Caenorhabditis elegans: one gene and its partner. The protein of the gene in region 1 purifies or fractionates together with the protein of each later gene. This does not show direct contact. Each region holds a gene or a part of one and is shown on either strand. Other genes may lie near its edges.

Region 1 (5,346 bases):
CGGAAAACTATTAAATTCAAAATATTTCAAAATGGCAATATTTTTTAATAGATTTTAAAGAATCAATAAAGTTAAATTTTTCCGAAAATCGATAATTTAGGAAAACTACTAACTGAAAATCAATAACTTTTAAATTTTTTCCAAACATTGACAAACAATTTAGTGAAAAATCTGTAACTTTCACGGGGTTCTCATTGAATTTTTCGCGCTCCATTAACAACCTGCCGGACAACGCGTGGGAAAGTGTCGTGTACTCCACACGGACAAATAAATTTAGTTTCACAACTAAAATCGAGCCGCGACGCGACACGCAACACGCCGTAAATCTACCCCAAATATGGCCGAGCCAAAATGGCCTAGTTCGGCAAAAACTCTTCCATTTCAATTTGGGAAGCCTGAAACCCGTGTAGAGTTTAAAGAATCAATAATTCGAAAATTCGAAAAGTCAATTAGTTAAATTTTTCGGAAAATCGATATTTAACTTCTAAATTTTTTCCAAAAATTGACAAGCAATTTAGTGAAAAATCTGTAACTTTTGAATAAATAAATAGAGTAGAGTATGTACGTACGTCCAAAATATTCGATAAATCGGATATTTTGAAGTTTCCGGAAATTATCGATTTTTAAAACTAAAAATCAAATAATGGCTACGGTTTCTAAAAAAATAAAGATTTTTCCTCCGAAAAAAACCTGTTTTTTTCTAGAATTTTTTCTCCAAAAATAGCAATGATACCCCCGGGGGGTCCCCGGGAATTGTCGAAAATATCATCTCGTGTGCAAAATGCTTCTTTTTCTTCTTTGCTCTCCCCCCACCAGTCAGTCAATCATTTCTTGTCCGTATCTCCAGCAGTGTCATCATTTCAAAACATATTACACAAACTTTTTCCCCCTACTATTATTATTATTATTATTATTACTACTATCATGTCATTGCCGCCGAGTTGCCGAAAAGGCGTCAAGCATTATTTTATGCCTCTTTATTCTTCTACTTCTTTTTCTTCCTCTATCTGTTTTTTTTCCTTTATTTCTTTTTTTTCGGCGCGCGCCACAGCAAATTTATTGTACTGGTTTTTGAGAGAATGATATGATTGTTACGATACACTCTCTGATGTCTGATGACTTCACACTTTATCATTTGAAGCTTCTGAAAGAGCGACTCTAAAATCAATTTCTCTTCTTCAAACTTGCGCGTAGGGTTTGGTGTTTTGAAGTCTGATCTACTGAGATTTATAATATTTTATATAAATAATTTTCCATGGAACTGAGAATTTTGAAAACCCGGAAAACTTTTTTTAACAGTAAAAATTTCAGCGAAAACTACGAATTTTAGGATCCACAGAAATCGAAATTCCGGGGATTTAAATTCCGGGAATTTGGATTCCGTAGAACCAGGAGATTTCTTGGTGTTTCCTAGAGTTTTCTGTAAATTTTCACAAAAACAACATTACGTTATGTTATTTACAAAAAATTAGAACTAAAAACTCCGAGTATCTCGATCCACGGAAACCAGAATACCTGGAATTTTAATTCCGCGGATTTGGAAACCAGAGACTTTTATACTTTTTACAGTAAAAAGTAGAGTTTATCCCAGCTTTTCACGTTTTTTGCGAAATCAAACAGAAAATACTTTGCAATTTTAGTCCCGGGAATTTATATTCCGTAGATTTGAAACCCCGAGATTTTGTTATTTTCTATTGTGAAATTAAAACACACAAAATTTACAATACCACGTGGTGCCAGAGTGTCCCATTTCGGTTTGATCTACCTAGATCTACAAAAAATGCGGGAATTTATCAACTGATTTTGCATAGTTAAAGACGTGCTGAGTGACGTCACATTTTTTTGAGCAAAAAATTCCCGCATTTTTTGTAGATCAAACCAAAAATGGGACAGCCTGTGACTACGTGATTTTGCCCTTATGGTTCAACACCCTGCAGATCTCAATGCCTTTTATTGATCAAAACTTTAATATTATATTTATTCTTTATGTATTTTCTTTTCCACTCTTCTAAATCTCCACACCATTAACATTCTCTCTCAGCTGATCCAATTCCCTCTTCTTCTTCCATCAACTAGACTCATTTCCTCCCGCATTCCTCCACATGTCTGTCTTTTCTTTTGCATTCATTTTTCGTCATTTTCACCTTACATTTTATAATTTTTTGCTTTGAAAACTTTAAAAACGATATTTAAAACAAGATAGGCTTTCAGTAAATGCGTCAAAATGTCAGATGACGTCAATAGCTCTGCAACTTCTACTTCTTCTTCAACCGTACACTTTGACGATACGCCGTTCGAAGATGTCTACGAAATTGAAACAGAACTTGGAAGGTTCGTTTTTTGTTGTTTCATTTTCTGCCTGTTCACCCGGATCCAAATGCGAAATTAGTTGCAATATAACAACATTCCGCTTCATTCTTTACAACATTGCCCCTTTGTTTATTGCAAGGAAGCAGAGACAAAGAATGTGAATGTGTTTAATTCTCCCGTTCTTCTCTCAGGAAATGAAGGGACATTAAGTGGTTAAAAATTTGCGCGTAAGATTTGATGTATTTGCTGTGCCAGTACACGGTTTGATCTACAAAAAAATGCGGGAAATGTTTCGCCCAAAAAATGTTTCGAATTTGAATTTGAATTAGGCGCCGAATTTTTTGTTTTTGGAAAATCTGAGATTTGAAATTTGGCGCCAAAATTTTCGAAGAAATTTTTTCGTGAAAAAATTTCAAAAACAATACATTGAATTTAGCGGTAAAATTCGAAAATTTTATTTTAAATCTAGTGCCAAAATTTTTTTGGAAAATTTTAATCTGAAAATTTGAATTTCACGTCAACTTTTCTGAACAACTTGGCACGTGGTGTCAGGCTGTCCCATCACGGTTTGATCTACAAAAAATGCGGGAATTTTGTGCCCAAAAAAATGTGACGTCAGCACATTCTTAACCATACGAAATCAGTCTAAAATCCCGCAATTTTGTAGATCTACGTAGATTAAGCCGAAATGGGACACTCTGGCACCTTGTGGCATTGTAAATTTTGTGTGTTTTTAATGCGGAAATTTGCATAAAAATATGACATTTCGGGTTTCAAATCTACGGAATGTAGATTCCCGGGATTAAAATTGAGAAGTATTTTCTGTTTGATTTTTACAAAAAATAGTGAAAAGCTGGGATAAACTCTACTTTTTACAGTAAAAAATATGAAAGTCTCGGGTTTCCAAATACGCGGAATTCAAATTTCAGGTATTCTGGTTTCCGTAGATCGAGATTCTCGGAGTTTTCAGTTCGAATTTTGTGTACATAACGTGAGAAATGCTGTTTTTGTGAAAATTTACAGAAAACTTTCTCAAGTAAAAAAATCTCCTAGATTCCGTGGATTCCTAGTACAAAATCCACGGAATCTAAATCCCCGGAATTTTCGATTTTTTCCGCATTTTTTGTAGATCTACGTAGATCAGGCCGAAGTGAGACACTCTGAGACCACGTGTCAGTCTCTCAAATTTTAGAAGTCGGCGACGACCTAGCTTTCTAAAATGTTGCTCTTTGAATCAACACCCACGCTCACCCAGTTTATTTTTGCAGCGGACAATTCGCGGTAGTCCGACGGGTCCGAGATCGAAAAACCGGTGAAAAATATGCAGCAAAGTTTATCAAAAAGCGGCGATACGCAACATCTCGTCGTGGAGTCACTAGGCAGAATATCGAAAGAGAAGTTCGAGTGCTACAGAAGATTCGTGGAAATTCGAATGTGGTGGAGCTTCATGCAGTTTATGAAACTGCCAGTGATGTTATCATTGTTCTTGAGTTGTGAGTTTTTGAAAGGTTTAAGATTTAAGTTTTAAAAATTAGTTGAGAAAATGTTTCAATAAATGTGTTTTAATTTTTGCTCAACTTTGGCGGCTCATAACTCGGTTCTTCTTAAATTTAGCACAAATTGATTGTTAAAAAAATGTTTATCACATATTTCTCAAAAATGTTGTAGTGAAACACTTATTAGCATATCGTATATAAAGCAAAGTGTACGCTGCCAAAAGTCAATGAGAAAAGTGGAACATGGTGCATCGACGTGTTTCTACACTTTAATAGCTTATACCTCATTTTTTTGGATATATCAAAAACTTATCAACTAATAACGTGTTTATTACCTAAATTTCTACAATTTTGTAGTTGAAATTTTTTTGATATCTTTAAAACAACCCGAGTTATGAGCTGCTAAAGTAATCTATTTTTTTGTATTTCTACTTAATGTTTGGCAGCTCGTATCTACGTTAGTTTCGACGTTATCAAAAATTACTCAATTAACAAAATATTGCTCACACAAAATTGTATAACACTATAGTTAAACATGTTTTGATATCTCCAACATACGCTGAGTTATACGCTTTCAAAAACATGGTGCATTGACTCCGAGGTGTGAGTTATTAAAGTAGAGGCTGACTTAGAAATTACTTTTCAATTTTTTGAAAAATGTATTCTAAGGTTTTAATATGGTTCTAATCATAAAAAATTTCAGAGTATCCGGCGGCGAACTATTCGACCACGTCTGTGCAAAAGAATGCCTTGATGAAGTTGAAGCAGCAGCGTTTATCAAGCAAATCCTTCTTGCCGTACGACACCTTCACTCCCTCCATATCGTTCATTTGGATATAAAACCAGAAAATGTCATGTTAAAACAACGCGGCGATTCGCAGATCAAAATCATCGATTTCGGGTTGTCAAGAGAAATTGAGCCGGGAGCAGTGGTAAAGGATATGGTCGGAACGCCAGAGTTCGTGGCTCCAGAGGTTGTCAACTATGAAGCCTTGTCACCGGCGACTGATATGTGGGCCGTGGGAGTTGTGACATATATTTTGTAAGTTTAGATAGCTAGTGTCACCCAACTTTGACTATATCTCTAATCAATTAGGAATTATAAAAAAAATCAAAAAATATTTAGTTCATGTTTAGCAGCTCCTATCTCGGCCAATTTCGAAGGGATTGAAAACTTTTTAACTACAAACTTATAAAAAAAACAAATACAGAATATTTTGACATTAATAATTTTCTTACAAGTCAACTGACTACCGAGATATGAGCTCTCAAAGCTTAATGCGGTAGGCCCTGTTGATGCACATGTGCAAAAATAGTTTAGAAGCTCGTATCTCTGCCAATTTTAATAATATCAAAAGATATTCAACGACAAAAATATAGAATAATAGGTAAACATATTTTGTTAGTGGGCCACTTTTTTGATAAAGTCAAAGGCGATCTAGATAAATTTTAAGTTTCAGTCGTCTTAGTAATCATTATTAAAAATGTACTCACAAGATGTCGGCTGCTTTATTACCTGCCATGATTTCAGTGAATTATT
Region 2 (5,425 bases), on another chromosome or scaffold:
TCAGGTTGTCCCATAAGTTTTTGTACTTTTTTTCAAATATTTTTCCAAAACTTCTAGAAAGTTTTAAAATTTTTTCATCGTAGGTCGTGTCAAGGTCGGGTCGTCCCCTTTCAGAAAAGATTCATTTCATCCATTTCTACTTTGCCACGATGACAATCATCAAACTTGAACGTCGAGACGTTAGATTGCTTCTTCTTTATGAATTTCGTCTTGGTCATTCAGCAATGGAAGCGGAACGAAACATATGCGGTGCGATGGGTGAGGGAGCACTCTCTTATAATACAGCAAAGAGTTGGTTTCAAAAGTTCAAGAACGGCGACTTCAGTCTCGAAGAAATAGAACGTTCTGGGCGACCGGTAGAGTTAAATGAAGAAGACCTAGTGAAGCTGGTGGAGGAAGAGCCTCGTCTTAGTCTTCGTGAAATGGAAGAGAAGCTTGAGTGTTGTCATAGCACAATTGCACGTCACTTGGGTCGCCTTGGTTTTACTTCAAAACTTGGAATTTGGGTGCCTCATGAACTTTCGGCATCACAGAAGCTCACTCGGGTCAACGTTTGTACTCAACTTCTAACTTTTCGTCGAAAGTTCGATTGGCTGAACAATCTGGTTACTGGAGATGAGAAGTGGGTGCTCTATGTTAACCATTCCAGAAAACGTCAATGGCTTCCGATCGGTGAGAAAGGAATACCGACGCCAAAGCCTGATCTTCACCCAAAAAAGATTATGATCTGTGTCTGGTGGGGTGTTCAAGGACCCGTGCACTGGGAATTGTTGCCAACTAATAAAACTATCACTGCTGATTACTATTGTGCCCAATTGGACCGAGTTGCAGAAAAGACCAACGGAAAATATGAAAAACTATATTTTCTTCACGATAATGCTAGGCCTCATGTCGCCAAGAAGACTTTCCAAAAGCTGCATGATCTTGGTTGGACTGTTTTACCGCATCCACCATATTCTCCAGATCTTGCACCAACCGACTACCATTTGTTCTTGTCTCTCAGTGACTACATGCGCGACAAGCAATTCGACGACGAAGAGCATCTCAAAACTGAACTCTCCACTTTCTTCTCATCGCGTTCGCCGGATTTCTTCTCCCGTGGCATCATGATGTTACCTAGTAAATGGCAACAAGTGGTGGACACTAATGGTGAATACTTGTGTGAATAGTACTACTTGTCGCTTGAGAGAAATAAATTTTTTTCAAAAAAAAAATAGTACAAAAACTTATGGGACAACCTGATACTTCGAAAAACTATGACAAAATATTTCCACCTGCCCACCGATTTAAAAAACCTCGGAGAACACCGCAGCAAGCTCCAATCTAATTATAATTAAGGCAAAATCAATACGAAACCGTGAATAATACCTCTTCATGTGTAGAAAAAACCTTCTGCGTCTCTTGCTCCTCTCCTACATTCTCCCTCTATCTCGACCACCGCCAGTTGAGGGAGGGAGGCGAAACGGTCAGCAGCAGCCAGCAGCAGTCATCTTTTGCTGTGTTGTATGTGTGTGTGTGTGTGTGTGTGTGTGTGTGTGTGTGTGTGCCCCAGTCGTTTCCTTTTCCTTTCTCTTCTCTCGTTTTCTTGTTCTTCGTCGCCTCCACCATCCCGAACCCAGGGCCGACAAGTGAGATGCGGCGAGGGCACCCCCCAACCACGAGCCCTCGGCGGGTTTCTCTCGGCCATTGTTAACCCCGGCCCCCGTCCGTCCTCATCCTATGCAAAGCAGTGAAGTGGTGGTGGTCTCATTCGCAAACCCCCAAACCACCAAACAACACATTATTATGCCCAACACCACACAAAGTTCGAATTTTTCCTGCCCTTTTCGGTATATAAAATAGGTTACACTTTAAAAAAATCTGAAAAAAAGAGTTTCTTCCTCAAAACTTCCCTTTGCGACTCTACTTCTTTTCCCTCTCTCTTGTTTAACCACTTGTGTTTGTTGTGAAATCGAAGTCGCATATCCTCTATCTTGTTCCATTTTTTCGTTTTTTACACTGCTACTTGTAACGTTTCTTTTGTTTCAGAAACCCAGGGGTCCTTGCAATGGACTTCCCTTTGCCGGCTCTGCTTGCAATAGAGGATTATGATGAAAATGAGGTTTGTGGGCATTTTTAAATAGTAAAAAAATTTAAACTTATTAAAAATACTAATCGAGTAAAATAAATCAATAAAAAATAAGACTTACCCCAAAAGGTATCGAGGTCTAGATAATGAAAATGGTAATTCAACCAAAACATTTAGTTAAACTAATTTTTTAAGATTTGAAAAACACTCTTTCTAAACCTAAAGTTGAAAAAAAGATTGCTGGAATTTTTTAAATGTTAAACACTGACATTTTTTTTTGAATACTCTGAATTTTTTCAATTTAAATTGTACTTTTTTTCCTTCACCCCGTTTATCCAACTCAGCGAAACGCAGACCTAAAAATGCAATGCCCAAAACTTTTTGAAGAATTCTGTCAGAGGCAATGCATTTTTAGCAGTGTCCTCTGCCGGGCAATAGAATACGAAATGAAACATCACCCCGCAACAAGTGCACCAAAAAGAAATGCGAATAGGATGATAAAATTGATGGAATTTCAGGGTAAACTAGCTGCATCGATTCGATGGTTAATTTCACGGGTTTACGAAGAAAAACGAGATATGCCGGATAAATTAAGGGACGGAGTGCAGAGGGATGAAAATGTAAGTTTTTATTTGACTCGTGCTTAAATTTAAAAAAAACTAATAAATTCAAATTTGAAAACCACAATTTTCAAATTTTTCATCAGAAATATTATTATTTCTAATTAACTGCTGAAATTCCAAATTGAATAGCTTTTGAAAATAACTTTTTAGAAGCTGCTTAACTATCAGAAATCTTAGTTTTTCTGTAACGAAACAAAAAAAAGTATCCCAATATCTCCAAAACCAAAATTCCACAACAACCTCATCAATTATTCAGGGACACTTTCAAATTGACGAAGCCGTCGTCGGAGCCCTGTGCAATGGTTCGTTGTACGCACAAGCTGCTGCTAAGATATTCAAGGAGTCAGCGCTAGTTACTGTGAGTTTGTTCGAGGATGAGCAGCTTGTTCACTATTAATTTAAAATTCAGAAAGGCCATGGAGCAGTTCTCGCGGTGCTGACCGATTATGGAATCGATGTATTGCACGACGGAAATGAATTGGTGGAGGAGGCGCAGCTGGTTGCTTCGGCTCCTTTTAATATGGTAAGGCTTTTTATGATTAAAAACATAATTTTTTGTTCTGAAGACTTTGAATGCACTTTCTATTTTAGGGAGCTGCCAAAGGGTACGAGAAAATTTTTTTAATTTTCCAAAAATATAGTTTTGTTTAGCGGTGTTTGAAAACCTACGGAATTGATCATTTTGTTTTATTTGACATGAAAATAAGTTAGTTATGCATTGGAAATTTTGAAAGTACCTCAAAAAGTTCCTTAAAAAGTTTAAAACTGCCAAAATCTTACTTGACAAGTCACAAATTTCAGGTAGTTTTGAAGATTTTTTTCATATCTTTCAGCATAAGTACGTGCTGTTCTGAAATAGATTGAACTTTTTTAAACATAATTTTCAAACACTTTTTGTCCAAATTAAAAAAATGGAAGGATATACACAAGTACCGTTTTTCATTACAAATTTTTAAGATTCTTTAAATGGTACACAAAATTACACAGTCTACTTCTGAAAATGGTATTGAAAAATTGCAAAAAAATTTAATTTCAGTCTGCACACCTTGCAATAATTGATGCTCTTATGATGGCACACCTTCGAGATGTTATCCCAGTCAGTCGGGTGGTTGAAGCAGTAAGGTTGGTTAATTTTATCAAACTCAAACTCTTGCGTTGAAGCTGTTAATGACTATAACAAAAACACGTGAGACAGAATTTTCAAAAAAAAAAAAATCATGCTTTCGATTTGATGCTAAATTCACATATTTTCAGTAACTCTGCTATTTAGGTTTCTTAAAATTTTAGCACACCCACCTTTTCAAAAAATTCCCCAGCAGTTAAATTGATGCTATCAAAAACTAACCAGTTTAATGGAATTTATTTTCTTATTTATCGCAACAAAACTTCCTCATTCCACTTTCCCTTATTCCAGCCGTCACACAGCTGTGGAGCCCAGCGAAAAGCCCATCGACAGTGTGGATGCTCTACTTTTCTGGATAAATAAAATATGTCTTCTAGTTAGAGACGATGTAGAACGGGAGGATTCGAACACGAATATTCCGGAAATGGAGGATTTGTACGAGGATATTTCAGATGGGCAGTGTTTGTGTGCTCTATTGCATTGGTACAGACCGCATGAAATGCCTGTAGCTGGTGAGTTTTTCTCTCTCTTAAGATTAGGACCATGACTTTTAGGTTTGAGACACTTTAAGCTTGACAATTTTTGAGTACAACATATTCAGTTAAATTTGGTCGACAATTAAGTGATAACTTCAATATAAGCCCAAGGCGACACTCAAATCTATCCACTACAAACTAATTTTAAAATGAAATATTTCAGATATTTCGTTCAACGATTCAGCGACCACAAGAGACTGCCAATATAACTTAATGTTGTTACAGTAAGTCACCTCATTTTGTGTGTCACTTCACACCCTCTTTCCCCATTTCCAGACTATTCTGCCGACACCACCTCGCAGTTGACCCATTCCACTTCGAGATCGAAGATCTGCTGTACCTGCGTGACTCACTACAAATGAATGTGAACGCCTTCCTTGCTGACCTATTCGTTCAATTCGAACCGCCAGTTACACCAGAACCAGGTAATTACTTCAACCTATCTCACTCTTCCACCATTACTGAAAAATGATGATTCTAGTTGAAACACCACGCATCGGACCTTCTCCTCGACGCTTCGTGCCGGCATCTGCAATTCCTGACCTTAGAGCTGCAAATGCGGCGGCGAGAAGTTCAATGCACAATAGGAATCGACCAAGAATGTATAATCCACCTCCAGCTGTTTCACATTCTCAAGGCCCGTCGAGATCAGTGAGCAGAATGAGCCAGGACAGTTTATTTTATTCTCGTCCAGCATCGATTGCACTACAGAGGAGGAGCATGGATCAAGATTCTGTGACCGATTTTCAAACCATTCGGCAGGTATGAAAACTTTTTATTTGTTAAAGCTCACGTGTAGTTGGTGAGATTATTAATTTTTAAAAACATTCGCTCTTATATTTTAGTCTAAATTTCCAATATTGAGTTACACAAATTTGACGGTTTTTTTTCGAGAATTCTGCACTACACGTTCTCGAACTCAATGAATTCTTTTTTATTTTTGTCAAATAATGAAAGTCCTTCTTTAAACTTGAGCTCGCGTTAATATTATAGAGAGATACTTATATTTTGTAAGTTAAAAATATTTGAATTGAGCAGGAACAAGCGGGTTTTATAAAGTTAAAATAAATGCTAA

What was found. Proteins that work in one complex are often made in the same cells at the same time.
Region 2: the proteins of dapk-1 (region 1) and ptrn-1 purify together in Caenorhabditis elegans (affinity purification with western blotting, with the first as the bait; one study listed by BioGRID). This does not show direct contact.

Annotation. Positions count from the first base shown.
Region 1 is NC_003279.8:1,303,351-1,308,696, forward strand, and holds the start of dapk-1 (Death-associated protein kinase dapk-1), read left to right. Parts: upstream 1-2,211; 5' UTR 2,212-2,224; coding exon 2,225-2,331; intron 2,332-3,578; coding exon 3,579-3,803; intron 3,804-4,129; exon of another isoform or gene 4,130-4,274; intron 4,275-4,509; coding exon 4,510-4,848; intron 4,849-5,346. UniProt on the Caenorhabditis elegans protein: Negative regulator of epidermal barrier repair and innate immune responses to wounding.
Region 2 is NC_003284.9:17,026,823-17,032,247, reverse strand, and holds the start of ptrn-1 (Patronin (microtubule-binding protein) homolog), read left to right. Parts: upstream 1-2,047; coding exon 2,048-2,101; intron 2,102-2,586; coding exon 2,587-2,688; intron 2,689-2,947; coding exon 2,948-3,049; intron 3,050-3,100; coding exon 3,101-3,214; intron 3,215-3,727; coding exon 3,728-3,813; intron 3,814-4,105; coding exon 4,106-4,326; intron 4,327-4,513; coding exon 4,514-4,574; intron 4,575-4,626; coding exon 4,627-4,775; intron 4,776-4,831; coding exon 4,832-5,112; intron 5,113-5,425. UniProt on the Caenorhabditis elegans protein: Required for microtubule stability and anchorage by binding to the minus ends of microtubules.